Linked DNA regions of Danio rerio. The main gene of each other region encodes a partner of the protein of the gene in region 7 in a complex. Links are inferred from orthologs where the notes say so. Each region holds a gene or a part of one and is shown on either strand. Other genes may lie near its edges. The genes, in order: dr1, tada2a, yeats2, taf12, taf4a, mbip and tada3l.

Evidence for each region.
Region 1: tada3l (region 7) and dr1 share a complex: the UniProt entries of both Homo sapiens proteins name them as parts of the ADA2A-containing complex. The link is inferred for Danio rerio from reciprocal best matches to the Homo sapiens genes TADA3 and DR1.
Region 2: tada3l (region 7) and tada2a share a complex: the UniProt entries of both Homo sapiens proteins name them as parts of the ADA2A-containing complex. The link is inferred for Danio rerio from reciprocal best matches to the Homo sapiens genes TADA3 and TADA2A.
Region 3: tada3l (region 7) and yeats2 share a complex: the UniProt entries of both Homo sapiens proteins name them as parts of the ADA2A-containing complex. The link is inferred for Danio rerio from reciprocal best matches to the Homo sapiens genes TADA3 and YEATS2.
Region 4: tada3l (region 7) and taf12 share a complex: the UniProt entries of both Homo sapiens proteins name them as parts of the STAGA transcription coactivator-HAT complex. The link is inferred for Danio rerio from reciprocal best matches to the Homo sapiens genes TADA3 and TAF12.
Region 5: tada3l (region 7) and taf4a share a complex: the UniProt entries of both Homo sapiens proteins name them as parts of the TFTC-HAT complex. The link is inferred for Danio rerio from reciprocal best matches to the Homo sapiens genes TADA3 and TAF4.
Region 6: tada3l (region 7) and mbip share a complex: the UniProt entries of both Homo sapiens proteins name them as parts of the ADA2A-containing complex. The link is inferred for Danio rerio from reciprocal best matches to the Homo sapiens genes TADA3 and MBIP.

The regions. Positions count from the first base shown.
Region 1 is NC_133181.1:26,454,325-26,458,903, reverse strand, and holds the start of dr1 (protein Dr1), read left to right. Parts: upstream 1-1,688; 5' UTR 1,689-2,193; coding exon 2,194-2,413; intron 2,414-4,579. UniProt on the Homo sapiens protein: The association of the DR1/DRAP1 heterodimer with TBP results in a functional repression of both activated and basal transcription of class II genes.
Region 2 is NC_133190.1:18,215,244-18,219,814, reverse strand, and holds the start of tada2a (transcriptional adapter 2-alpha), read right to left. Parts: upstream 3,115-4,571; 5' UTR 2,876-3,114; coding exon 2,851-2,875; intron 500-2,850; coding exon 393-499; intron 301-392; coding exon 241-300; intron 1-240. UniProt on the Homo sapiens protein: Component of the ATAC complex, a complex with histone acetyltransferase activity on histones H3 and H4. Required for the function of some acidic activation domains, which activate transcription from a distant site. Binds double-stranded DNA.
Region 3 is NC_133177.1:47,842,373-47,846,313, forward strand, and holds part of yeats2 (YEATS domain-containing protein 2), read left to right. Parts: intron 1-321; coding exon 322-560; intron 561-644; coding exon 645-719; intron 720-2,721; coding exon 2,722-2,795; intron 2,796-3,416; coding exon 3,417-3,494; intron 3,495-3,941. UniProt on the Homo sapiens protein: Chromatin reader component of the ATAC complex, a complex with histone acetyltransferase activity on histones H3 and H4. YEATS2 specifically recognizes and binds histone H3 crotonylated at 'Lys-27' (H3K27cr).
Region 4 is NC_133191.1:38,665,846-38,669,943, reverse strand, and holds the end of taf12 (transcription initiation factor TFIID subunit 12), read left to right. Parts: intron 1-658; coding exon 659-773; intron 774-2,284; coding exon 2,285-2,373; intron 2,374-2,452; coding exon 2,453-2,488; 3' UTR 2,489-3,258; downstream 3,259-4,098. UniProt on the Homo sapiens protein: The TFIID basal transcription factor complex plays a major role in the initiation of RNA polymerase II (Pol II)-dependent transcription.
Region 5 is NC_133186.1:23,068,530-23,072,470, forward strand, and holds part of taf4a (transcription initiation factor TFIID subunit 4), read right to left. Parts: intron 2,180-3,941; coding exon 2,090-2,179; intron 1,043-2,089; coding exon 863-1,042; intron 1-862. UniProt on the Homo sapiens protein: The TFIID basal transcription factor complex plays a major role in the initiation of RNA polymerase II (Pol II)-dependent transcription.
Region 6 is NC_133192.1:40,162,782-40,167,226, forward strand, and holds the start of mbip (MAP3K12-binding inhibitory protein 1), read left to right. Parts: upstream 1-1,435; 5' UTR 1,436-1,447; coding exon 1,448-1,600; intron 1,601-2,107; coding exon 2,108-2,224; intron 2,225-3,631; coding exon 3,632-3,844; intron 3,845-4,445. UniProt on the Homo sapiens protein: Inhibits the MAP3K12 activity to induce the activation of the JNK/SAPK pathway. Component of the ATAC complex, a complex with histone acetyltransferase activity on histones H3 and H4.
Region 7 is NC_133186.1:18,274,662-18,279,355, forward strand, and holds the start of tada3l (transcriptional adapter 3), read left to right. Parts: upstream 1-1,484; 5' UTR 1,485-1,551; exon of another isoform or gene 1,552-1,640; intron 1,641-1,981; 5' UTR 1,982-2,005; coding exon 2,006-2,215; intron 2,216-4,694. Other genes in the region: arpc4l (actin related protein 2/3 complex, subunit 4, like), read right to left, coding at 781-783. UniProt on the Homo sapiens protein: Functions as a component of the PCAF complex. The PCAF complex is capable of efficiently acetylating histones in a nucleosomal context. The PCAF complex could be considered as the human version of the yeast SAGA complex.

The DNA.
Region 1 (4,579 bases), on a different chromosome or scaffold from region 7:
CTCTCTTTTACATTATCTCAGGGGCCTCATGTACGAAGACTTGCGTGGAAATCATACTAAAACATTGCGTACGCACATTTACAGAAAAAAAATTCAGATGTATGAAACACTGCGTACATCGAATCCCACGCATATTCTTTTGTACATCCGAATGAACGTGAATCTGAGCACAACATGCACGAGCACAAAACCCCTCCCTGCCTCCTCACTCGTATGAATATGCTAATGACTCTACTTTGGCAAAACCCAACGAAAAAGCAAAGGCAAAAGCAAGAAAAAAGAGAATCTTTGAACAGAATGTGAATTGAAGGTGCTGCTTTCGGAGGTAGACCGGAGGAAAACTGTGTTATTTGCAAGTTTGTCCTCCGGAATTAACAACAAAAGAAAAAATAGAGTGGGGAGAGTTTAGCTGATGCGGTTAACACAGTTGGATCTGAACAACGCACTGTGGAGTTAAAAGAGAAATAGTGTGATTTATAGGTGTAAAATGTTGTAATACCCTTAATAGTCTCAGTGGCACAGATCGTAAAACGCAAGGTAGCATGTTTTGACACGTTCGAGCATGAACTCGGTTCGAATCCAGCGTCTGATGAACTCATTCTTCTTTTTTTTCCAGCATATCAGATTTTGCCTACTATTTATCACGAGAAAGACAAGTAGGAATCATTAATAAGTATGTGCATCATATTTTATTTGCACATTTATTGAATGGAAATGTTTCTGATTCATGCGTGCAAATTCATCTTCAGTTGGTGCCTTTATAGCAATGTGCGTGAAGTAGATCGCCCCCACTACAATGGGAAAACAGGCGACCGCTGCAAATTGCTCTTTAATGTTTGGCTGGTCAACTGTATGTTATGGAAATCTTATATACCTGCTAGATGAACCCGTCTCCTACAGCTGCCATTGCAAGGCTCAAAGACACTTTGTAGAGTGCAATTTAACACAACTGTCGAGTCGCCAATGGAAATAAAACAGACACGCACAAAAAATGTGCGTACGCCAGCCATAAAGCTGGCGTGGAGCCGCGCACATTCCCACGTTCAGTTCATCGTTAGTAAATCCAAACGTGAGCGATTCTGAGCGTGAAACCTGGCGTATGCAAAGTTTTTGTGCATACGCAGCGTTGATACATGAGGCCCCAGGACTGTATATTTCCCTCCCCTCAAAAACAGTTAAGTTTGGTATCTTTGAAAACAAAGAATTTTCATTTTGCTGTCATTGTTCTATTATGCTTGGGAAAAATCTTTATTCACAAATGCAGATGGTTCAAATCTACTCCTTTAATCAGTGAATGAGGTAAAACTTTTGTGCGAATCTGTAAAATTGTTGAATGATAAAAAAGCCCATAACCTCATCTATTTTTGGGATTTTTATAAGCTAATTTAATTTTCTAAGCTCCTTTATTATTTTATTGCAATTCATTTAACAAAAACTGGTCGTTTTATTCTTTCGATGTATATTGTGTTTGCCTATTTTATTACTCAACCTTGAGATGACAGTATGGAATATTGTAAATATGTTCCATTTTATTTGTATGTTCAGCTTGAAACAATAAAAAAAGTTTTTGCCAGTTTGTTTTTTTAGCAGAAAACATGCGCATAAATTGTAACATCATTTTTGTACAGTAGGCGGCAATGCCGAGCAACACCACGAAACAATAACAAGCAGAAGAATTACCGGATATCCGGGAGTGTTGCATTGTGGGGTTCGTTTCGTTGATCGCTAACCGAGCGGGTGAAGTAATGAATTAATAGATTCGGGTGCTTAAAACATTCCTCCCCGTGCTTTAGTCTAATAAGCGCGGGATCTGTTCAGTTACCCAGGCGGCTCGAGAATGAATGTTTGGAGTTGAATCATGATTATAAACGTGCACAGCAAAAGCAGCAGCACTGATGTGTGGATGTGGAGAGTCAGCGTAAACTGATCAAACCGAAAGGTACCGACTCTCATCCTCCTCCCTTCCTTGTGCCAAACACTCACAGTCTTTCCGACGTCTTCGGATTTTCAAATGTGTTCACGTGTGTGTATTCCCAGCCTTTCGTGATCTGCTCCGAGAAAACCGACCGCACCATCTGAGTCTCCACACAAAGCCGCCGCTGCTGTCGGTGTTTTATCATCAACAAAGCCGTTGAGCCTCCTCTCCTGGTTTGACTCCTTCAAACACAGAAGCGTCTCGGCTGCTCATCCCTCATGGCATCTTCTTCGGGGAACGACGATGATCTGACCATCCCGAGGGCGGCGATCAATAAAATGATCAAAGAAACGCTTCCCAATGTGCGGGTAGCGAACGATGCCAGAGAGCTGGTGGTAAACTGCTGCACAGAGTTCATTCACCTCGTCTCATCAGAGGCCAACGAGATCTGCAATAAATCAGAAAAGAAAACTATATCCCCGGAACATGTTATAAACGGTCAGTATGTCACTTCTGTTCAATGCTGTGAGATTCCAACAACAAATTGTTCGTTTCTGCACTTAATTCATTCAAAGCTTTTGTAATAAGGCGAATCGTTTATTCAGAGTTATAGTAACGTTACTTGTAGAGGTAAAGTTAGTTTTATATTCGCACATTCGTTCATTTAGCAGTCCCTATATTGTTTACCATCCTGCCTTGAATATTCAATCGGAATTAGCATGGAAATATGACTTCTAAACAACATTTACACTATCTGTGTGAACAGTGTTGTACTTTAATAGTCATTTGCTGCTAATATGATTTCCCTATTTAGAATTAGCAAAGAATACTTTTCTGAAATGTTATTATTAAGGAGAATGTCTAAATATATCCAAATATAAAACCAACTTTACCTCTATATACTACTTTTGATTCTGATTGTCTGATGAACATTCTAAGGTGTGCAATTATTTTCAGTTTTCAATTATTTAAACGGCTAAAGCAGTTCCAGACAGCATTATAGTTCAATATCATTATGCTGAATGGTTTCACAAGCTGCAAGTGTCACAAATCAAATAATGAGTTGGTATGCACAAGACTTTAGTAGTTTAACACACAAGAGCTGTTTAATGGAAAAAACCTCTCAAATGTCTTAAATTACGTCTTTCAGTCTGGAAACCATAGTACAAGTGGAATAATTTACTCTGGTTTATTCATTAAATTAGAAAATAATGCACATCTGCTTTGCATTGTGGCCGCATCACCACCTTGGTTGTGCATTATTTTTGAATAATTAAATACGCATGGGCTGGTGTAAGATTCTGACTATATGATAACCTTTGATAAAAATTGCACGGTTTCATGGTATTGTGATTACTGCTCTAAAATAATATATTCTTTTTAAATGTCGGGGTAAAACAAAACAAAAAAATCCCTTTTGAACACAATATATTTTATGTTATGAAACATTTAAAATATTCTGGAACAGTAAACTTCAGACTAAATAATTCAAATGAATCATTGACTTCTGCTGTCTTCACTTATTTCAAAAACACATTTTTTTTTTACAGTTAAAAACAGCATCTTTGGATATCTTTTATGCTGGACAAACTGTTGTCCAAAAAAAAGCAAGAAAAATGTAAATAAACAATCTTACACATCACCTTAGCAACAGTATTGCAAAAAAATTTGATGGTTTTAAAACCTTGACTTTTTCATACCGCGGTATACCTTGAAAATGGTTATCATTCTATGCCTAAATTCAATGGTCTATTGTAAATTATTCCTTGTTCAATTGGTCTGCAAGTGGTCTTGAGACGCTTGAAAATAAATGATGCGGTGGTTTATGTAGGACTGGGCAGTATGGCCATGTTAATATGCTAAAATTGTTTACATCAGAGTCAGTATCAATAATTATCAAAATAAAATGTCTATTTCTTTAGTTAAAGTGCAGATTATAGCCTCTGGGAGAAAGTTCCAAAAACCAGAATAGTAAATTGTAAAACTAAATTTTATTGTCAAAGATGACAAACATCCAACCTAATGAGCAAGACCCTTTAGCATGTGAACATACAAACAAACTCGAGCAGCTGTTTGTGCTAATGGATAAACAATCTATGTTGTGCAAAGGAACAATGCAGTTATGATATGCTAATGTATTCCACTATTATGTTAAACATTTATAACGTGTTGTTTTACAGAGGGAAAAATTATTACAATAAATATGGTTTTATCGCCAAGCCCTAGGTTTGTGGTGAGAAAACAATTCACCTTAAACAGGGGTCTCAAACTCGCGGCCCGCGTGCCATTTGCGGCCCTCAGTGCAATATTTTGTGGCCCGCGCCGACCGCTGATTCTATCCGTACACAGCGGTCACTGGCATTCCCCGCCTGCCGTGTAAACAAAGGGGCGGGGATGCTGGTGACGTCACCACGCACCCCGCCCCTTTGTTAGACGCTGTGACGGGCGGGAAGTGTTGATTTTTACTTCTGAGTCAAACACCGGCGTAGGCTACGTCGCTGACGCATAGCCCTTCGCCGTGGCCGTCGCCGTCACTGACGTGCACCTCTCAAAAATTGTAACTACACGTTGTAACGACGCGTAGCGCAAGCTCTGTGATTGGTCGGCTTGCTAGCGCCGACGAGTCTGGGCGGGACCGAGAGCCGCGAGAATGGCGCGAGCGAT
Region 2 (4,571 bases), on a different chromosome or scaffold from region 7:
TCCTACCCAATAACTACGGTAAACCCAATTACTACCATATAATACCACTTATATATATATATATATATATATATATATATATATATATATATATATATATATATATATATACTTATATAAATATAAAACTATAACTATAAAATTAACTACAACAAAAAACAAACCAACAAAAAACAGTTGCCATTGAAATACCTTTTATTCCAATATCTTATGTATTAAGTGTTGTAATCTATACTTTACCATGATTTCATATTTGTGGTCACTCTGGTGCTTTTTATACTCATATCCTCTAGTGAAACACTGCAACAGAAAGATGAAAACATAAAGTGAGTATTTCATGATCAGTGACAGTGTATGATTGATGCATTCAGACAGCAGTGGAAGGAAAGCACCTGCAGACACAGGAGAAATGGGGACGGTCCACATTCAGCACACTTGATGTATGGCTCCACCAGATATGACGAACATCCACGACAGGGAGGCTTATCGAAAGGATCATCTGAAGACCAAAAAATTTAGAAACAGAATGAAGGTATCAGCAAATCAACCCTCAAGAAATTCCGTTTCTCTGGATTTACTGGATATTTTAGCTATGGGTTTGAGTAATAATGTTTAGTTCATGAACAAAAATTTAGTCATTTAGAGCCTTTTTGGATGTTTTCTGAAAAAAAAAAAAAAACAATTCCAATAAAATAAATATTAACATTTATTTTATAAATAAAATAAATATTAACATTTATTTTACTTAAAATTTTACCTAAACAAATCCAATATTTTCAAAGTAATAAAGTTTAGTATAAAATATCCAAATATTTTAATTTGTTGTGATTAAAAAAAATCTGGGATATGACACCAAATAATACTTTTTTTTAAAAAATTCTTCTGAATTCAAAAATTCAAATGGTATTGTGCTGTCAGAAAAAGAGAAAATATAAGCATGTCTAAAAATAAATTTTATTGTAACACAATACAATACATACTGTACAACACATGTACAGTATGTGTTTAAGTAAAAATAATAATTTCTGTGAAATAAAGAAATTCTGTTCTATACATCACAAAAAATAGTGTGATTTAGAGCTACTGTATCTAGTCACAAAATTACAAAATAATAATTTAATATTCTTTATGAATAAATGAAACAAATAATAACATTAAAAGACACAAACAGTACCTAATCAAACCAGAACGTTCAAGAAGTCCAGTTTTTACAAAAGTGTACAATATATTTTCAAATATGACACTTGATTTATTGTTTGTTGCTTAGAATAAATGTTTAATATTTCTTGTGTTTATAAAATATTCTACAAATGTGAAAGAAAACCATTATTTTATTTTTAAAGCATTTATTTTATTTAGCTAATCTTGAATGTATGTCAAAACATATTACTATGTTATAAAGCTGATACTTATTAAAAAAACTATGAATTATAACGAAAAGTGAAAAATATAACCCACCAAAATCAAATGTAGTATTTTATTACAAATATCTGTTATTATTACGTTATTAGATAATTAGTTTTTAATGAATATATATATATATATATATATATATATATATATATATATATATATATATATATATATATATATATATATATATAGTTTATAAGGAAATAAGAGTATATTTAAGAAAAACATTAATTTGTGAATAGCCATGGGACAATAACAGGTTTCAAAGTACAACGCAGTTTGGAAAAGTCAATGATTTAAAACCGCCAAAGTTTTCTGTTATACCGTTCCTACGGTGTTTGTACGGTTTTTATTTACGTGTTTTTTTTTTGTTTGTTTTTTTTAGGACAACAGTATCTCCAGAAGAAAAACATTTGCGAAGATGTCTTTTCAAGTTGTAAAGAAATCAGTGTTTTGAAACTAATGAAAACAGCAGAAGTCAATGATTCATTTCAATAATTTAGGACACGTTTACTTTTCCAAAATATTTTAAATGTTTCTCAAAATAAACTATATTGTGTTCAAACTAGGTGGAAAAGTTTTAGTTGTTCACCCAGACATTTAAAAACTTATTTTAGAGCACTAATAATACTGTGAAACTGTGATAATTTTATCCAAAGTTCTCATACCGTCAGAATCTTATACCGACCTATGCCTATTTGTGAAGCATAAAGTATACAGTAAGGGGGTCTTAAAACTATTTCTGGTTAATACAACATTCACCTGAGGTATGATTACAGTTAATGCACTGCAGCTACTGCATTTTACTTTATAGTTTCTACCATTAATATAATTTGTTTTACCATTTATGAATTACAACACCATGGTACAGCATCATATATTCCACTTAAAAGCATTGTGAATTATTTACTACATTCATTAAACTCACAATATAAATAGTTATAAAATGTTTTAAATACAATAAATAAATTTACAAATTAAATATTTGTATAAAAAATAAACATTAAAAAACTCATATGCTACATTTTATTTCATATATATACTTTAAATTATTGTTATTTATTTATATAAAAAAATATATATACACATTTTTTTAAAGAAATCATGACTTTATACTTTAATGCACTGATTTGTTTTATATAAGTTATATGTATTACAAATCGGGGGCAGCATGGTACAGTTTAAGATGCCGTACTGCAATATGCATTATGTTAAGCGTTATTAATAAGTGTATTATCATAACATGATGTACTCCAGAGAAATTCAAATATTGTCATGGCACAAAATACAACGTACGTCGTAAATGGCTCTTACAGAGTCATTTTAGCTGACATCCGTTTACTATGGTACATTTCTGTATCAAATACCAGAGCTATTTAGTTTTCATATTTAGGCTGTTTCCCCAAGAGTACTAGATTTACTAAACAAGAAACTTACTTCCAAATGACGCCAGTCTATCCATGTTGTAAATGAATGATGGGATCTGGAAAATGTAAAACCTTCCTCCTCCTCTTCCACTCGTTTGGAAAAAAATTGAGATCTTTCTGTGATTTGTGCTGAATTAAACTGGGCGGTTGTACCGATTATGCCTCGTCGTTAAAAAGCAAAGAATAAAAACATAATCTTATGCTCTGTTTAACACATTATTGAGAATGTAAACACAGTGCTTCTGCTCGATCTGTGCAGCTCAGTGAACAACATTAGGAGGGGAAGTGACGTTCTTCCACAGCGCCCCTCAGCGGCACCTGCGCGATACATACATACATGAATATGTGACAGACTCGCGAGCTCAGCCTTTCTACAGTGAGGTCAAGATCTCTCAAGTGACTTTTAATAATCATCTACAGTATAACTGATAGCCTACTTTACACTGGACACTTGAGGAATATCAGACCAGATATTTCGTTTTCATCACTTTCCCACCTGTAAATCATCGTAAGTATTTTTTTACGGATTCATTTCTCATAGTTTTATAAGAGGCGTTCAACTCATAGATATTTATAATTGATATCTATTATATAATGTCGATGGTTCAGCTTCAGGATGATCCTGTTTTTATACATTATTTAGTATTAATAGATTACTATGAAAGTTAGAATTATTATTATGATTATTATTATTATTAGGTTATTACATTGATATATAAATTACATAATTATAATTTTTACTTTTACTTTCCTTTGGCCTTTTCCTTGCTTTAGCGTGGTTACCACAGCGAAATGAACCGTCAATATCTTAATTTTATGAAATTTCATTTTTCCTTTTGTTAATGTTGGTTATTGTATTTACTAACATGAGCAAATGAGGAAATGCTAATGAACAACAGATTTATTACAGTACTTGTTCCTCTTTTTTAACGTTTGTTAATGACAATAAAGTTGTTCATTGTTAGTCAACGTAACTCACAGTGCACTGACTAATATTAACAAGCACAACTTTAGATTTTAATAATGTTGAACTCGGTCGAGGCAGTGACGCAGTAGGTAGTGCTGTCGCCTCACAGCAAGAAGGTCGCTGGGTCGAACAGTTGGCGTTTCTGTGTGGAGTTTGCATGTTCTCCATGTCTTAGCGTGGGTTTCCTTCGGGTGCTCCGGATTCCCCCACAGTCCAAAGACATGCGGTACAGATGAATTGGGTAAGCTAAATTGTCCGTAGTGTATGAGTGTGTGTGTGTGAATGTGTGTGTGGATGTTTCCCAGAAATGGGTTGCAGATGGAAGGGCATCCGCTGCGTAAAAACTTGCTGGATAAGTTGGCAGTTCATTCCGCTGTGGCGACCCCGGATTAATAAAGGGACTAAGCCGACAAGAAAATGAATGAATGAATAATGTTGAACTCAAAAAATGCCATACAGATTTGATAATGCTTAGTTCATGTTAGTAAATGCATTAACAAACATTAACTAACAGACCATTATTTTGAAGTATCACCCTGATATTTTTAGTTATGCACACTTTTATGTATTGTCCATTTAGCTTTTTAAATTAATTGAATTTAGGAAAAGATAACATTTACTCTGTCTCTTAACCTCTGAAAAAAAAAACACTGTATTTAAGTCCATTTATTCTTGTTGTTATTATAAATTGTGAAAAAATCATCCAACCGTTTTAAATTCATGATTGAGCTATTCCAGCGTTATGGATGTGACTTTTGCAAAAC
Region 3 (3,941 bases), on a different chromosome or scaffold from region 7:
GTAAATTGTTATTATTACAATTACTAATAGTTCATACATGCACAATAAAAATCAAATAGCTATTTATATTGTTTAAATAGTTATGTTCTTAATAATTACAGTATACTTCACTGTAAGACAAATTTTATTATTAATTAGGTAATTATAATATTTAAAATATTATGCAAAAGGTCAATTCTAGTAACATGCAAAATACAGAACAGAACCAAGTCATAGTGTAGATTAAGAGAATAGTTTTTTTGTTTTATTTATTAAATTTTTTTTTCATTGTGTGCTGTGTGTGTGTGTGTGTGTGTGTGTCTTTGTTTGTGTGTGTATTAGAGTGCAGCTCGACTTTGACAGGCTGTGAAGAACTTTCTCAACGTCTAGAGCAACTTCAGAGGATCCTGAAAGCGGAGCCCGATGAGGAGGACGATGAACTGCTTGACATCATCAGTGTAAAGGAATTAGATGCCGGGAAGGTCAAAATCAAACAGGAACAGGAAGAGGCTGAACAAGAGCCCAAGTTCTACATGGGTCGCTGTCCATCGACCCAGCTCATCAGAGACACGGCGGAGCAGGTGAAAAATTATGTCTGTCTGACTGCAACCAGACTTTCTGATGGGTCTTACATGTGACGAAATGTGTGTGCTTGTGTGTGTTAGATTGGTGTGACACTCCAGCAGGTGGAGGTGGAGAAGAACGTTTTTGCTCCTGTTGTGGAGGCCATGATTCTTAAGGTAAGTAATCTGAGGTTGAGTAAGTCATATGTTTTTATTTAATTACAGAAAATTTGATTTAAAGTCATTTGAGATTCACACTATATCTGTCTTATTAATATATGTTTTAATTGCATTTAGGATTGGCTTTACTGCTGAAAAAATTAATTATTGAAAACCAGTTAGAATGCAATTGACTTTAAAGAGCTTGAACATTTAAGACAAGACACTGCAAGTGAATATGGTAAAATAATAATGATGATAATAATAGTTATTATTTATTGTTTACATTTAAGAATCATTTTATAGCAAGTTTTATTTTAAAATGCTATGTTTACAGTATATATGCCAATAAGGCAGTATTTAAAGGTGCCATATACTGCATTGGTTTAATAAGTTAAATTGTTCTCTGATTTCTACATAGTCGGTTCATGGCTTTTGCAAGTTCAAAAAATCTACAAAAGGGGTTTTATATGCTCATTTCTTACTCAGAAGGTCCATAATTGACCATATATGGTTCCTGCCATGTATATTAATGAGCCCTGCTCTGACGACCGCTTTTACAGACACACGCACACAAAGAGCATAATGTACGCTAAATAGGATAAATATAAACCTATTCAGAGAAATGTTAACCTATTTTGCTCTCCAGATCTGTTGTGGATACAGGCGTTCTGAAGTGATTTTGAACATGTCTTGTGCAGTCGTTGCCCAGTAAAGCATCGTTAACAATTTGGGGCTTGCGTTTTCAAAATAAAAGTCCCACATGCATAGTAAAAATATTAAATATAAGCTTTAAAATAGCTAAATAAGGAGGGAAACTATCATTGTTTTCTCACTAGAAAATGTTTGGCTTATCAAACATAGTTTGAGGCATTTACAGGTATATTAAAGATCTCAGAGCTACATATGAGACTCTTGATGACTTGGCTGCTTGTCAGGTTCGGACGAATGACCTTAAGTAGGCATACATGCAAATGATGAGGGCATGGCCGTGAATCTCTTTTGTGTTTTGGTTGGCCTGTTGTCAACAGGAGTTTTACACTCGTACAATTTGCATAAGAACAAGGAAACAGTGGTGTCTAAGGCTCATGGTATGCCCATTTTCACATACTAATCTCTTATTATTTGGCTATGCCTTGGTGTACCCAGATTTTTCTTTATAGGGCACCTTTAATTATTTGAAATTCTCTAATTTGCATACATTTTTAGCACAAACACATGAACATTGGATAAAGTCGTGTTTAATATTCTTGTTTAATTGTTCTTTGGCATAATGGAGTCAAAGGTCTTCACAGAGTTGATTTTTGAGTCTCCATATTTCATAAAATACAGCAAAGAGCCAGAAAAAATATATATTTTTGTAAAATAAAATGTAAAAACTTTCCACTGAAAAAAAATACAAATAAAACTGAGATTTGTTATATGTAAGTCCGGGGTGCCCAAACTCGGTTCTGAAGTGCTGGTGTCCTGCATAATTTAGCTCCAACTTCTTTTAGCACACCTGACTGAAAGTTTCTTGTATACCTGGAAAGAGCTTGATTAGCTGGTTTAGGTGTATTTAATTGGGGTAGGAACTAAAATATGCAGGTCACCGGCCCTAAAGGACTGAGTTAGGGCACCCCTGATGTAAGTGCTGCTAAGGTAGAGATTTATGGCTCAGTGCAGGAGAAAAAGCTCATTTTGAGATGTATAAACACAAATGGATTAAGCGTGACAACAGAAACACTTACAAGGGTATTTTGAATATTTTATTTAAATTAGACTGAAAAAAAAACACTTTATGAAGAGTCAAAAATAAAAAAATGTGTATGTTTTTGCCTGCAATGTATTGCGTTAAAGCAGTAAATGACTTGAATGCACCACATACTGTACTTATAAGAAAAAGAACAACACTGTTTTATTAAGTTTCAAAGAAATGATTTCTTTTTTACTTAATTTGTTTTGACCAGGATTGGACACAAACTTATAATAGATAATGCAACATGTCAAAGTTGTGAATGCTGTCTGAATGTCTCCACAGGCTGTAGAACAGTTTTCCAGTGAAATCCTCAGGGAATCGTTGGCCAATGCGCATGGGAAATCCCAACAAAACAGGTCAGTTTGTTCTTCCATATGACAATACCACATTAATCAAGACAGATGCGTAGACCGACATGACTCCGAGTTAAAGGATAACTTCCACTCTCTTCATTTTCAGGTTGAGCCGCTAGCATTATTTCTCCGTCAATTTTGATGAACTCTCGAGCAATAAAGTCTTGTCTAACGATTTTCAATCATGGCTGTGGGAGGAAGCTCTTTATGATAGTGTGTAATTATCCGAGCGCTGGGAATAGCTCATGAAAGTCCGATTTATTTGAGTTGCGGAGCTGAAGATTTCAGTCCTGGTAGAGAGAGAAAGAGGAGATTGGCTCAGTGCTGCTCCACTTACTCAGCACATCTGCTTTCATTCACATGCCCCATACACACTGTGCAGAATATTTCATCAGCCTTTTAGACAGTGTTCAGTGGCTGCTTTTTATAGAGAACCGTTTTTAAATGATCAGTCAAGCAGGACCTGATCGATGGGGCATACATTAACAGAAAGCAGCGGCCTGACAAGACTTTGAGACCTCTCATTTAATGCGCAGAGGTCAATAACCCATTATACTAAGACAGCAAATGTAGCGTGACGTTTCTTTTTGTCTTTTTCATCATCCTGTTTTCTTGTCTCCACAGAACTCCGAGAGAGATATCAGCTATGAATGTGCATCAGGCCATTTGCTCTATTCCCACCTGTGATTTTTTGACTAATAGGTAATTTTGCTCTTATTTTAGAGTTTTTTTTTTTTTTTTATATATAATCAGCGTTCCACTTTCCACATTCTACAATGGCATGAAAACATAAGAAAGTTTTAAAATTGTAAATAAAAAATAAGTAAATATAAAATAATTATTAGTACTCATGGAAATACCCCAGTAATGTTATTCTCAGGCCATATTAATTTTATTTTGCAATGTGGAAGTTTTAAAACTTCAGATTAATTTATTTTCAGGAAATGACTTGGAAAAAAAAACAGCAGTAAACGGTAAACAAACAACATTGTCGTTTTATGTGTTTATGACAATAAACAGTACTTACGGTGCATCTGGAAAGTATTCATAGCGCTTCACTTTTTCCACATTTGTTCATGTTACAGCCTTATTCCTTATTCTGGATTAAAGTCATTTATATCTTCAAGATTCTCCACACAATACCCCATA
Region 4 (4,098 bases), on a different chromosome or scaffold from region 7:
AAATCTGTTGAAAAAAACTGCTCTCTGATAATAATTCCGGATTCAGGGGGTTTAATCATTCTGATTGCAACTGTATATTAGACCTGAAATATCTGTTTTTGTCAGTTCAAGAATTTAAACTATACTATATTTGTACTATAATGCATTATAGTGTGTGTGTGTGTGTGTGTGTGTGTGTGTGTGTGTGTGTGTGTGTGTGTGTGTGTGTGTGTGTGTGTGTGTGTGTGTGTGTGTGTGTGTGTGTTTTTTTACTATATTTGTACTATAATTCATTATATTTTTTATGAAGAATGCATTGATTTTGTCAAATTCAAATAACAATAACACTATTACAACAACAACAACAACATCAAAAAATAAATAAGTGTTTTTTTAAATGCTGCTTTGTTTATCAAATGATGCATAAAAAATTAAAGATGATAAAACTAACATACTTGAGCACAGACTCAACAAATTCAGAATGATTTCTGAAGGATGAAAAAAATGAAGATTAGTTGAGTAATGCCATCACAGGAATAAATGACATTTTTACATTTTATAATTATTGTTATTATTTCATTACTTTTATTAGCGATTACAGCCTAAATGAAAAAGAACAGTAGAAGGATATGCTAACATTACTGTTACTACAGTGTTGTCTGTTGACCATTTGTTTCAGATGCTGTTGCAGATAGCTGATGACTTCATTGAGAGCGTGGTGACTGCTGCATGCCAACTGGCCCGACACAGGAAGTCAAGCACTCTTGAAGTAAAAGACGTCCAGCTACACCTTGGTGAGGATCTTAAATGATCATTTTATCCATGGACTTGAGTGCTTCATTTGAATACATTTGAATAAGTACACTTTTAAAAGGGTAATTCACTCAAAAATGGAAATGTATTCCTTATTTACACTAAAAGAGATATTTTAACAAAAAGATGAAAACCAGTGAAACAGAGGCCAGCAAAGTGAAGTGCTATGCTGGTTCAATGGGTTGGGTGCAGTAGGACCGGTGGGCTACAGATGGGGGCTCGTCCAGGATGGGAGTGAGGTTTAAGGGGCTGACTGTAACGAAGGCCAGCTAGTGAAGTGCTACGCTGGTAAACCTCACTCTTCTGACCTATAAAGGTGCTTTATCAACAGACGCTAGAGGTCATGGTCTTTAGCCTCCTTGTTAGAGCAACCGACTCCCACACAAAGAATCGCTGGTTAGATCCCAGCTCAGAGCGAGTTGGGTGCTATAAGACTGGTGGGTTACACTTGGGGGCTCGTCCGGGATGGAAGTGAGGTTTAGGGGGTGAGTGTAACGAAGGCCAGCTAGCAAAGTGCTAAGCAGGTAAACCATATTCCTCTGAACCTCTAAAGGTGCTCTAAGGACAGACGCTAGAGGTCATGGTCTCCTTTTTAGAGCAACCAACTCCCATACAAAGAATCGCCAGTTCGATCTCAGCTCAGAGCAGGTTGGGCGCAGTAGGACTGGTGGGTTACATGTGTAACCATTGACTTCCATAGTAAGAGAAATGCCTAATATGATTGTCAGTGGTTAGAGTTTTCAGACTTTCTTCAAAATATCTCCTTTTTTGTTCAACAAAAGAAAGAAAGTAATAAATGTTTGGGAACACTTGAGAAGAGTTTTTTATGCAAACTATGTCTTTAAGGGTATTTTATAGTCGTTTAATAAGTGACATGTTTTTCTTCTTATTTTAATACCGTTTGAATAATTAAACTTAAAGGGATAGTTCACCCAAAATGGAAATTTATTCACTGTTTACACTAAAGAAGATATTTTGAAGAAAGCTGAAATCGCTAACTTCCATAGTAAGAGAAATAAATACAATTTAAGTCAATGGTTACAGGTATCCAACTTTCTTCAAAAGATTTCTTTTTGTGTTCAGCAAAATCAAGAAAGTCATAAATGTTTGGGACCACTTGAGAATAAATAAATAAATGATGACAGAATTTTCAGTCTTGAGCAGACTATCCCTTTAAGGGTATTTCATAGTGATTAATGAGTGACATGTTTTTCCTCTTATCTTAATACCGATTGAATAATTAAACTTAAAGGAATAGTTCACCCAAAAATAGAAATTTATTTACTATTTACACTAAATAAGATATTTTGAAGAAAGCTAAAATCGCTTCAGTTTTAGGCAAACTATCCCTTTAAGGCTGTTTTATAGTTTGAGTTAGATGTTTTTCTTCTCATTTAAATACCATTCAAATGAATTATCCCACATAGTTTGAATGTCTATTTTTAAGAACTGTCCTCTTGTATAGTGAGTATACTAAATTTTCAATTTCCAGAACGACAGTGGAACATGTGGATTCCTGGTTTTGGCTCAGATGAGATCCGACCGTATAAGAAGGCTTGCACCACAGAAGCTCACAAACAGGTCAGCCATGCACTAAAACCGATCACCTAAAGATGATTTTGAACAATCACTTCACTAAATATGATTTCTGTTCTTTCAGAGAATGGCACTGATCCGCAAAACAACCAAAAAGTAGCAAGATTGGAATCACCAACAAACTTTATTTCCCTGCAAGTTTTGGAAAGTGGAGAGGGTTTGAACCTATACATGTCATGGTAATCAAAGGGGCAAAAAAAATGCGATGTACTGTTTGCAGTACAGTTCTGTTGACATTTCGCGTTTTGGAAGGTGCACAGAAATTATTGTAATTTGTCTGTACAGTTCACTTTGCGTTAAAACCACCACGTGAACGTTTTGTTTTGGGCACCTTGGTGCTATCCTGGGGTTTTATTATATAATAGAATCCCTCAAAGCTCTGCTAAAAACATAAATTGTTTTATTATATTACCCACAATCCACATTTTCCTTTCATATATCTCTTGTATAGACTCTTTATGCAGTCATAGATCTTTTGCTGAGCTGGCATTAGAAGCTATGCACATTTACAATCATCATGTGTCTGATTTGTTTATAGTGTTTGCTGTTCTAGAATTCGTCAATTAAGTAATATCTAGTGCTATAGAGGAATCCCTAGCGTGGTACTTTTTGAAGGTAAACCAGAGAGATGATTACCACTTCCCTGTGTAATTAATTGCATTGGAACTAGTGAAATAATCCAAATCTTAATTGGTTTAGAGAGGGATATATATGTGTGATGGTGCGCAAACCCCTTCTGCTGTGGGTTTGCGGGCAGGTTTAAACCTTTTTGTGGAGTTTTTTTTTGGTCATGTATCACAGTGTTTTACAGTCTCCTGTTTTTCATGAATAAAAAAAAAAACTAATTGTGATTTATTCACACCAAAGTCAGTCAGGTTGTGTATGACATTATTACAGAAATGACTGGAAAAAAATAAAAATAAAAATAAAATAAAATATATATATATATATATATATATATATATATATATATATATATATATATATATATATATATATATATATATATATATATATATATTTCTACAAACCTTTACAAGTTAGTATACCTTTAATAAATCTTCAGGATAAGCTCTTAAAGGTGCAGTATGTAAGTTTGACACCCAGTGGGGTGAATTAGGTAGTGCGCTCCTGGTTCAAAACATACGCAAGGGCAGGTTGCCAGATTGATGACACCAACAGCAATGTGCCTGACTGTCGAGCCTAAAGGCTTACTTAAACTGTTCTAAATAAAAGCAACTGCACTCGATACAAGGAGTATTTTCAGGGCTTGACGTTGACTTTTTTGATCACCAGCTACTGTGGCTAGTAATTTTCCTACGTTACTAGCCACTTGCCATTTTCGCTAGCCACATTTTTGCTGGTGGGAAAATATATTTTATATGCATAAATTTGACTTTGACATGCTAAAATTATTTGATTTAGACTTTTTGTTATGTCCACATGCCTCCTTGTTCATTTCACTTTTTTGTTGTTGTGTATGAACTCATGATGTGCATGAGCAAATAAGTTATGGCTTCATAGTGTCGCATTGCAATTAGTTTTTATTTCACATGACTTTTCTGGGCTCAACACTAAGGATTTACCAAATTTATCTCTGACCACACCAAAAATAAATAATTATTTCATAGCCATTAATTTTAGATAATATGTCAAAACAAGCAAAATATAGCTATATACATGCACTTTTTGATTCAACAAAACTTTTCT
Region 5 (3,941 bases), about 4.8 Mb from region 7:
ATTGAAACACATCTTTTACCCACATCACATAAATGGTCAACCATAGGAATTGTATACGACAAACAAAAAAACTATGTCATTTTAACTATATTTTTGTTTATTATGACAGTTATACAGTTATATTTTCGTGCAGGAAAAAGTCTTATTTGTTTTATTTCGGCTAGAATAAAAGCAGTTTTTAATTTCTTAAAAAACATTTTTGGGACAAAATTATTAGCCCCTTTAAGCTATTTTTTTTTCCGATAGTGTACAGAACAAACCATCATTATACAAAAAGTGTTTCAGATTATACTTTCTTGAATACTGGTCATTTTTATAGGTTCTATGGTCCATAAACACACAAACCATAGACAAATAAAATCTATTCAGCGAAATCTTTTGAATGGTTCATTAAAAAGAACCAGCACTTAAAAGTCGTCTTATGTACAAAAAACCCCCCACAGTTTTATACCCTGTTTTCAATCATCAATATTGTGCACCAATAAAATGCATACACTATATTCTTTAGAATTAACTGACAGCACAGAGCGACTTTCAGCATGAAACTATGCACAAATAAAATCAGCGAAGAGTAAGACTAAACACTTGCTTTAGCAGTAATGTACTGTTAGCCTTAAAGCTGCACTCAGCAATATTTGAAAAACCATTCTGACCACACTGTTGCTCCCAATCCAGCCAATCAGAATTAATGAGTGTGTCTAATAACTAAATCAGAGATTTCAAAAAGTGACAAGGTTTGTATTCATGTAGGTTTGTTTCAACATCAAATATCATCAACATCAATTGTAAAAACAAAATTATCAGTGCAAACCAGCGGTGTCATTGTGCCTGCAGTAAATGAGGCATGTGGAAGAGTGTTTACCAGAGAGGCAGTCTGACTGGAGTTGCTGAGGGCTGGCTGGGTGAGTGTACGAGGGGCTGCGGTGGTGCCTCCAGCAGTGTTGGGACTGGTCAACACCACAGTGGGTGAGTGGAGGGCCTGGCTCTGCTGGATGAAGGCCGTAGAGTCTGGAGTGAGCTGTCGCAGAGCTGGAAGACTCCTCTGTGGAAAGAGAACAATCATTATGGGCAACAAATAGGGCTGTGTGACATTGACAAAAAAAATCTTAATAAGATTCTGATAACAACAATTAAATAATATTCTGAATAAATAAATATAGGCATGAAACTGCCAAAGTGGCAGAAAGCACCGTTCTTTTTTATGAATGATTGACTCAAACACTGAAGTGATCCTCTGAGACAAACAAATGTTCTACTCGCGGCTTTGTTAGAAATCATTTTCATTAATAAAACAGGTAATAATCTAAATATATTGTGTCTCTCTCAATTATGCATCTGACGTGACTCTCTCAATATTAACGTCCTATTTGTTGAACTGTAAAAATCAATTATCACATTTACAATTGTGCCATCTCCGGTAAAACTGCACACATCATTTCAATGTGCTATTACTTCATTATCATATACTGTAAATATACAGTAAGAAAAACAAAACCCTGTTATTGGATATTTTTGCTTTCAAAATATTTAGAAATTATTGGGTCATACCATCTACATTCTTATAGGATGGGGAAAGATTTTAAAATCTTAAGATGTATCTGCATGCAGCTCACACTTTCTGATCAACAATTGTATAACAATTCTGGTTTTATTAAAGTCTATAAAACCCCTAGCAACAAAACGCTCCTGTTAACCAACTTTTAGTTGGTAATAAATCATTACAGGTACAAAAATGCAAATAAAAACAAAAATCTTTTAATCAGCTACAGTCATCAGAACTAAACAAGAAACTTATAAACTAAGAAATTAATAAAAAAATAATATAAATATTACATGCTTATGTTATATAAATATTATATAAGTGGATTAAGAGCTGCTCAATCATGATCAATATGCTCTGTGTGTGTGAAATTAATCCTGGTTTGCTCCTAAATGATTTTCTACAATTACTGGACACTTAGGTTAATTAATCATTTAATAAGAGTTAATTACACTTTAAGTACCTGGGTCATGCACCTGTAAAACAACTATGTGCATAAATGGATTGAATTGTGTGTCCTTGAAGATTTAAGAACTGTAATATCTGTACCTTAAGGAAAGGCACTAGATAAGGCTGAGGAGAGGAGTTGAGCTCTTTGTAGAGCCTGCTGGTGAACTCCTCTGCTTCAATCTTCCCTTCCTGAGAAGAAAAAAACACAAATGAAAAATAAGTTCAAAACACTGGGGTCAAAATACAAGAACAAAAAACTGTTTGTTTTAACCTAAAGAGAAAACATTTAGGACTGAAAAGTGCTTACAGAAATTTGAACAAAACGCTAATTGGAAACAAAACCATTATTAAACCATTAAAATCACCACTACATACAGTTAAAGTCAGAATTATAAGCCACCTGGAATTATTAGCCTCCCTGTTAATTTTTTTACCCATTTCTGCTAACAGAGGGAAGATTTTTTTCAACACATTTCTACACATAATAGTTTTAATAACTCATTTCTAATAACTGATTTATTTTATCTTTGCCATGATGACAAAACATAATATTTCATTCATTCATTTTTTTTTTCGGCTTAGTCCCTTTATTAGTCAGGGGTCGCCACAGCAGAATGAATTGCCAACTTATCCAGCATATGTTTTACACAAGCGGATGCCCTTCCAGCTGCAACCCATCACTGGGAAACACCCATACACACTCATCCACACACATATACTACAGACAATTTAGCTCACCCAATTCACCTATAGCGCATGTCTTTGGACCAGAAGGAAACCCACACAAACACAGGGAGAACGTGCAAACTCCACACAGAAATCCAACTGACCCAGCCGAGACTCGAACCAATGACCTTCTTGCTTTGAGGTGATCATGCTACCCACTGCACCACCACATAATATTTCACTAGATATTTTTCAAGATACTAGTAGTCAGATTAAAGTGACATTTTAAGGCTTAACTAGGTTAATTAGGTTAACTGGGCAGGTTAGGGTAATTAAGCAAGTTATTGTATATTGATGGTTTGTTCTGTAGACTATCTATATAGCTTAAATGGGCTAATAATTTTGACCTTAAACTTTTATTAGCTTTAAAGTAACTTTATTTAGCTAAAATAAAACAAATACGACTTTCTCCAGAGGAAAAATATATTATCAGACATACTGTGAAAATGTTCTTGCTCTGTTAAACATAACTTGGGAAATATTTAAAAAAGAAAATAAATCAAAAGGGGAGCTAAAAATTCTTCAACTGTACATAAACATTTAAAGGGATAGTTCACCCTCCACTTCTTCCAAAACTTTTTAAGTACTGAAGAGTTCTGGAAACTTGCATCCATAGACTTTCATAGTCATCCTATCTCCTTTTATATTGTTTACAACAGTAGTTCTTATCTAAAACGTGGCAGATTAATTCTTCTTGTTATAAATATCTATTACTGTCAGCCAATTTAAACATTATAACTAGTTTGAACATTTACACTGTACTGTGATGAAAGGTAACAAATAAACAAAACATCAACGTTTAAACTAAAATGTGCTTATAAAAGTGAATTAAAATGGCACTGTTCTTAAAAAGTGAAAAGAAAGCTGCTGTACTCAAATGTAAAGTATTAACAAATAGTAACCTATTCATCAAAACCTGGAAATGTTCCTTGGACCTCATAAATATAGGCTATATGTCATCATTTTCATATATAAACTCATTTTGATGCATTTTATAATATGTTGCATGTAAATATGACTTATTTGCATATCTTTAAAATCTAAACATTAACTTGTATTTTAAATATATGAATTGGATTTACATATTTAAATAAGAAATTAGATCTGCTTACTGCGCGTTAGAGTAGGATTTGTGTGTTAGAAAAGCAAATCAATAAACTTGACCTGTCACCACTGGGATATTAAAATACGAGATATGCCCCCAACAACTGTTACAAATATGAGG
Region 6 (4,445 bases), on a different chromosome or scaffold from region 7:
ATAAATGTAATTCCTGCACATCGCTGACCAATCACTAAGCACACAGGTGTCGATTTAGGACAAAACGCGTAAGAGAGAGTAAGGCCAGCGATCCTTGCATGTATGAAATATTGAACATTATGAAGTTTTGCTTGCAACACTGAAAACATGCTAGATATAAAGCAGTTTTTCATTGGGAATTTTAGTATTATAAAGTACTATAAACTTTTCTAACTGGTGAATGACATGATCTAGTGGGTCTCTGTCATCTTTAATGTGCGTGTTTGTGATAACAGGAGGCGTGGTTTTGGCCAGCAGTGGAGAGATTGAATTTAAAAAATATTATGCTAGCCGGTTATCATTTAGGCTGATCCCCTAATGCACATTTAATATACACTGCCTGAATTAATGTCCACAAACCAGGATTGAGGAGTCTTTTATATTATTGTACTGACATGCTGTTGTGGTGATAAAGACGGCATAATCTCTGTAATTCATTACAAACATGCACTGTTTTAAAAACTTTTTAAACTTGTAAAACTCACTCTCGATCACATTTGATGATGACTGATGATCACAGAAAGCTGAACAGATCTTTTAATCCCAGTTGCTTTGCACACTTTGTGCCTTGTTGATATGATTATGCGTATTACTACTAATACATGTTAGTACGCGGCTGTCAATCAATTCGGTGGACAGGGAAACCGCCCTCCTATGTCACGATGCGGTGGGCCTCAAAATAGGAGGGATTTAAATCCTATTTTAACATTAAGAAATTTTTTAAAAAGAGACCTATTGTCTTTATATCACCTTAATATGACTGTGGACACACACTATACCTATACACAGTTCTGTCCAAACAGATTAGAAAATATTATTTTCATCATAGGTGCCCTTTAAAATTATATTTTATGCAGATATGCTCCACTACACAATAACTCAATTTTAGCAAGCTATTCATCTGGTGAAATTGCATTTATATCGCAATATATATCACAGTGAATGAAAATATTGCAATGTCAGTTTTTTCCAATATCATTTAGGCATACATTTTTTATTTACAGGCCTTTACCTTTAACGTTACACAACCTTTTGAACCCTATTTGTTTGTCTGGGTGTGTGTATTTTTAAATAGCTTTTTAAAGAATGACATGAAATGATCAGGTAAATGCATTACCCTTGGCATATACATAAAAACCCGTTTCATTTTAGTCATATTGATAAATTGTAATGTTAAATGCGATTTAAAAACACAAAAGGGTGAAACAGAAGATTGTTTTGTGACGGACAAAATAATAAACATTAAACACGGTCAATGTCAATATTTAAACTATCGAAATAAAGTAATTTACCTTCGTTTATATTTGCAGTAGTCAATTTTAAATGCTCGTTATTTTGCTAGCGGAAGTGAGGTCATGTTATGCAGGAGACCGTTGGTCCAATCAGCGCAGCAGCCGGGAGCGGAAGAATGATGGCGGCGGACGGCGAAAGACGCGGTGCGTGTGCTGCAAGTAAACAAGAGCAAAGCAGAAGCCAGATTTCACTTCATGCAAGACAAAGGGATGCTTTCAGAGACTGCGTTGCCTCTATTGTCGACTCCCTCGCTGAGCTTGGAGTAAAGGTTTGTTTAAAAGCAAATTCTGCCACGGTGTCACTGTTTGGGATAGAGCTCTTAACAGTCATATTTGTAACGTTATTTCATTTGAGATGCCAAAAGCTAAATATGTAACGTTAAATTATGGAACTTTTCCGAAGTAACAAGATCACCCATGTCGTAAAATTATATGATTTGTCCGCGCTAATATGATTTGTTTCAATCACTTAGATAATTTGTCTGTACTTGTCTGCAATAAGTTGTAATATGCAATATTTCCACTGTCACTGCTGAAATAATCAGCCTGTCCTGGAGTTTTTATAATGGTCTCATATGTTTCTTTTCTGGATTTTTATTCAATTTTTAGCTGGTTTTACTCCCTGCCTCCCCAGCTGACAAGTGCCTAAAATCTTACTACTCATTTAACAAACCATATTGACCAGCGAAATAAACCACCTAGTCTGTTTTAGGCATCTTTTCTGCATTGACAATTTAGAAACCACAACAACAACAAAAAACTGTCTTATTTTCCAGTTAAAAATAGATGATAACGCATTGAAAATCAGTGCCAATGTCAACAATGTGAACATCTGTGAGCTTCAGCCATCTCATGTGCACTCCTGTTTACAACAGCACATCTCCAAACTACAGGTAAACAGAGTCATGTGCATTATAACATTTACTAACACACATAGCTGATTTTTTAAGTATAAAGATATCTTCTGAACCTTTAAATAGATCTTGTAAGTGAATTTTGTTTGCCATTTATTTGTTTACTTATCTGTAATGAACCTTATCCAGAGAATTGGTGAACATTTGTTTCCACAATGGAATAAAAAATTAAACCCATTATGTCACAATTGTAATTCAGAGAATATCATCAGTATTGCCAGAAGGAAACATGATATATTATTGGTGGAAAAGTCAGAATTTTATAATGCTATTTAATATTTTATCTTGCATTTTGACTTTTTATGTTAGAATAGGGACTTTATTGCCCACAAATCTTCATTTGTATCTCACATTTTTGATAAAACGTTTAAATTACAAGATATAAATTATTATAAACGAAGTCAAAACCATTTGAAACCCTGAGATGCAGAGTAACAATACTGAAAATAGTCAGAATTACGAGATAATGTTCATCATTTTCAGTTGCAAGTATCAAATCACAATGCGTTGAAGAAAAGTCACAGTTATCCTTACTTATTTGTTTTTTCTTTGGTGGAAACAAGCTTTTGCTGCAATGTTTTTATTTTATGAAATTAAGGCTTTGAGGGATAGAAAGTAAGTGCACTCTTTTAGTTGATCATTAAAATATATAAAATACATAGTACTGACTCATGTTTATTTATAATTAATCACATCCAAATTCAAAGCTTGTGTGTGTGTGTGTGTGTGTGTGTTTGTGTGTATGCATGTATGTATGTAAGTGTGTGTGTGTGTTTGTGTTCGCGTGTGTGTGTGTGTGTGTGTGTGTGTGTGTGTGTATATATATATATATATATATATATATATATATATATATATATATATATATATATAAATATATATATATATAAATATGCTATTTATTAAATTTTTTTGAGAAAATGTTTATTTACATTTACATATAAAATATATATAATATTTTTTATTGTAAAATTAAGTTTTATGTATATGTGTGTTTTAAATATGCATACTACACACACACATATATATTATGTTACAACGTATTTATATTTTGGTCACGGTTTACTACGATTAATCGTTGCCCTGCACTATTAAATTCATATTATGCAAGTGGAATAATGTTGTTTCCTGAATAATGTTCTTAAAATGTAAATATGTTCAGTGTTTTTTGCAAAACAAAAACTGACAGGGCAAAATGAATCCTTTGTCCTTCAAGATGGTTCTCTGATTAGCTTATCAGCGTTTTTTTTTTTTTTAAATGTATATGACCAGCATTACTGCACATTATCTTCTGACTCCTTGCTAAGACACAGTTTATCATTATAAAGACACTGTAAGACTGTCTTTTACCACATTGTTTTTTTTTTATTAACCTTCTGCTTCTAGTCGGTCTCTGAGAGTTTGAAGCAGATAGTGGAGTCTGAGGCAAATAACTGTACAAGTTCCAACCCAGACATCGGTGAAAGGAAAGAAACTGCACATACATCTGAGCAGATGTTTACTGATGATCCTCTTACATCTGACCACTGTGCTGCCCTTGAGGATCGAAACAGGACTCAAATCGATGATAACGTGCAGATCAAGGCTGCTAAATCAGAGGTAAATTTATCACTTCAAAATGTAGGCATATTTTACACAAATCACAGTTGTATTTATTGGAATATTTAAACAAGTAAGTGATCATATGAATATTTACAAATTGGGGTAAAACGTAGTGGTTTTGAAGGATAGTTGCAAAATATAAAGATTAAAAATGACAATTAATGACAATTTTTTATTATTATTATTATTATTATTTTTTTTTGGAGCATCCGTTATGTAGTGTTTTTATATGTCATCAAATGATTCCTATTCGAAATATGTTTGGCACCGATGACGTAGTGGTTAGTGCATCAACAAATGCACTCACGGCGGTGATCACGGCGACCTGAGTTCGATTTCCACCTTGAGGTCCAATGCCGACCCTTCCTCTTTCTCTCTGCTCCCCATGCTTTCTTGGTAATAGTCTCTACTGTCCTGTTTGTTGATAGTAAAAACTCTGAAAAAATTATTATTAAAAAAAGAAATATGTCTGGCAAAGTTGTTTTGATACATAAACCATTGTTTCAGTGAATTAAATTTTAGTGTGCATCTTCTAAAAATCTTAATAAAATGTGCTTTACATTATTTTAATAACGCATTTTAATTAAGAAAAATATTA
Region 7 (4,694 bases):
AAACCTGTTTGACCTATATTCCTAAAATGCAAAATAAGATATTTTGAAATATATTGGAAATGTAACCACTGACTTCCTTAATATTTCTTTAAAATATAATCTGTAGTGTTTAACATAATAACGTAAATCATAAAGGTTTATAACCACTTCAGAGGGAATAATTAGTGAGTACATTTCTGAGGTGAACTATCGTTTTATGTTTTGCTCAAAAAAACAAATTTACTGTTCAATAAAAAGACTTCAGTGTATATGAAAACGTAGGAAACATGACTTCATCACAGAGGTACAGGTATACTTAATCATACAGAGCTATAATAATTTACATGACATGGTTGTATACAGTTGTCTCCATATTATTATTATTCATGAACGTATACTCGTAGTAAATACACAAAAACGTGACTGTCAGTGAGTGGAAGAGCAGTTGTGTGCTTGTCATTACAATGAGCTTCTGATAGTAATTCAGGTTGTCAATAACTATTCTTATAAATACATTTCAACAATCATATCAAATACCACATCAAACAAAACATTTATGTAGCATAAATAGTATTTAATCGAATCCATTTATTATTTTGATTCTGTTAAAGAGGATGCAAAATCCCTGACGTTAGCTAGCTAGCATAAATCAGGACAGAACACTCGATCAAATAAGCCAGAAATCAAAGCTGTTTCTCTATGCAAAATGCTTTACCGAAAAGCTTTTTCATGGGTTATTTAATTGGTTGGGCTATAATCAAAAACAATATTTGCAACTTTCGAGAATCGAAAATCTCTTACCATTTTATATGAGGTCTGTGGAGGAAGACGGAAGTCCGCACGCCACGCCTGGAGATGAGGAATCACGCCTCCATTGCGTCCTCACACTCCCGTAATTTATCTATTGAAAGAGCAATTCAGCTTAATTCTCACAAGCGCGTGGTTTAAATTTACACGAGTGGATGTCAAATTACAAAACATATGTTAATGCAAACTAAAGTTGTCACTATTATAATGTAAGAAAATAATACAGCTACTAAAACAACATAACAGTAATGTTGAAAAATCTTTTTGTTTAATTACGGTAAAGCCCAGCAGCAGTTTTTCCTAGATTCGTTTTTTCTTCCTTATATGGCAAATTACTCGACAGGTCAAATAAATTGTACGTTTATCAAACAGGGTGTAATCTATAAATATTAATGTTCCGAAATAAACATTAGCTCTTTTGTGGCTTTGAACAGTTGATTATTTTTTTGAAAATAAATACAATTTATTTCCATTCAGACGCGCTTTGGTATCGAATGTACCATTCAATGAACTGCGGTGTTGCGTTGTGAATGTCAACTGACAGGAAGCGGTATTTGTCGAATGTCGAATAATAATTTAACTATACAATATTTTAAGAAAACGTGCAACGGCCAAATTGAAGCTCTTATGATATACATTCATGTTTTTAAAATGTAATCAACGAGCTGTATCCCCCCTACTGGCATAATGGTCTAGTCAGTAATGGTTGCCCCTTCATCGGAGGTAAACAATGCTATTTTATGAATCAATTAATGCAGTATAGGAGTTGAGTTTATCGTCCTATTTCGTATTTAATCATATAGTTTAATTGTCAGCACAAGTCTTTTCATTGAAAGCTATACGCAAATATGCTGGTAAATGCTATAACCGGCTGCCTGTGCTTTGAACAGCATGGAGCTAAATTAGCTTGTAGCCGTTAGCCTACATTGGCTGCTCGTTATATCATTTATCATCTTATATGGCAATCACTATTACATAATAGAGTGAAAAATTCAATACATGTAGGATTAGATTTGTTACACACCAAACAGTATAAATAACAACACATCTCTGTTTTGTTTTTCTGTAGCTGTCCACTAGTAACGTTACCACTAGATCAAAACCATTTACAATTTGTGCTGCTCATTAATAACACTAAAAAGACAATTAGAATATACTTTTTTTAACCCTCACTTTGTTTATTATTTCATTACAGATATAGATTTCTGTAAATGCAGAGATGAGTGAACTGAAGGATTGCCCCCCATTAAAGTACTATGACTTCAAACCTGTGGACCATGTGAAAGTGTGTCCACGCTACACTGCAGTGCTCAGCCGCTCAGAGGATGATGGCATTGGCATTGAAGAGCTCGACACGCTTCAGCTGGAGCTGGAAACACTCTTGTCCTCTGCGAGCCGACGTCTCCGAGCACTGGAGGAACAGAGACAGGTGAAAACTGCTGTTTTTACACTTGTCTTTTTCACATCTTGTGCGTACACTAGTTTGGAATCAGTGGGACTTTTCAATGATTTTGACAGAAGTCTCTACTTCTCATCAAAGCTGCATTTATTTATTTATTTTTTTAAAAATAAAATGGAAGAAGAAATACAATTTGTGAGAATGTTTTATTGTAAAACAGGTGTTTTGTAATGTAGAATGTAGTGATTTTTTTCCTGTGATTGAATTAGGGCTGCACAATATATAAATTGGGTGTGTGTATAATCAGAATCAGTATCTTCCGTCCAATTCATATCCGTTTTCAAACAAAAAAGGATACTGAAGAAAAGAAAAGAAAAGAAAAAGACTTTTTTTTTTCATTTGCGAAAAAATGACATTTTGACTTGATTTTTATTTTTTTAATTTACGGTAGAAAAATGGATTAACGACTTCAAAATTCTTTATACACATGTAGGTGGTGCTGAAACGCCCTTTTTCCTCTGATTGGTCAACCAAATCTGAGCTCGTAACGTCGCCCTCAAAATAAGAGCACTCTGTGGATCAGCAGCCAGACTTTTAATTATTGTTATTTAATCATATATATAAACTAAGTTTACATATTCTGTCATTTGATCTGTTAGCAGGCCAACATTCTTTGCGTATGCCTAAATTAAAAAAAAAACATAAATTAGCAGTATTTTTAGACATTTGTCGTTAAAATAAGGCCATAGTTCGCTGACAAACGTCCTGCAGCAGCGCAACTGATGCTGAGCAAAGATAGCCATTTCCAAACAGCACCTAGTTTGCATGATTATTTCCTAACAAGGCCTATATAATAATAATGATGATAATATTAATAATGTTAATAATAATAATATTAATAATAATAATAATAATAATAATAATAATAATAATAATAATATATGCCTTTAGTTCTCCTACCAAACGTCTTGCTGCTGTGCACCTGATGCTGAGCAAAGACAGCCATTTACGAGCAGCACCTGGTTTGCATGATTGTTTCCGTGCTACTGAAGGCCTAAATAACAACAACAATAATAATAATATTTAATATTGTTCACTTACTGTTTTTATTGTTTAGTTTTTTAATAATCATTTATTATTATTATAAAAAAATATATATATATATATATATATATATATATATATATATATATATATATATATATATATATATATATATATATATTTATATATATATATTATTATTATTTTTTTTTCTAGACCTAGCCCATGGCAGGCTACGCTGAATATTTAAAATAAGTGGATTTAAATAAAATACAATAGGATCGGTGGCTGTGCACGAGCAACATCTACAGGTAGCCAACTCATTTAAAATCCGATTTCGGTTTTGATTTTGGCTTCAAACGATTATGAAAAAGCATAAATCTAGATAAATGATTATTGCATCATATACCACCATCTTTCCAGCTGTACACATGTGTTGCTCTTAAAAGCGCGAAAGACCACCTGCTTATGTGTGTGTGCGGCACACACAGTTTGTTTCATATTTCTATTCTATTGTATTTATTTCTTTTTCCTTTACAGGGTGGAAAATAACTGTATATATGTAGTTCAAGTCAGAATTATTAGCCCTCCTATTAGCATCCCTTTTCCTACCCAATTTCTGTTTAATGGAAAGAAGTTGTTTTTACTTATTTCTGAACGTAATAGTTTTGTTATCTCATTTCTATTAACTGATTTCTTTTATCTTTGCTATGACAACAGTACATAATATTTTTCTAGATATTTTTCAAAATACAAGCATTCAGATTAAAGTGTGATTCAAAGGCTTAGATGGGGTAATTAGGCAAGTCATTGTATAACAGTAGTTTCTTCTGCAGAGAATCAAAAAATAGCTTGCTTAAGGGAGCTAATAATATTGACCTTAAAATGGGTTTCAAAATATTTAAACCTGCATTTATTCTAGCTAAAATAAAACAAATGAGCCTAGAGGAAAAAAATATTTTAGAAAACACTGTTAAAATTCCTTGCTCTGTTAAACATCATTTGTGAAATTTTGACTTCAACTGATAATCGTTTTGAATAATCGTGATTACAATTATGAACTAAATAATCGTGACTAAGATCAGCCCTACACACTCATACACTACGGACAATTTAGCCTACCCAATTCACCTGTACTGCATGTCTTTGGACTGGGGGGGATAACCGGAGCATCTGGAAGAAACCCACACGAACGCAGGGAGAACATGCAAACTCCACACAGAAACGCTAACTGAGCTGAGGCTGGAACCAGCGACCTTCTTGCTGTGAGGCGACTGCACTACCTATTGCTCTACTGCATCGCTTAGTTTATATATATATATATATATATATATATATATATATATATATATATATATATATATATATATATATATATATATATATATATATATATATATATATATATAGTTAAATAATAATAATTAAAAGCCTGGGTGCTGGTTCAGAGAGGGCTCTTATTTTG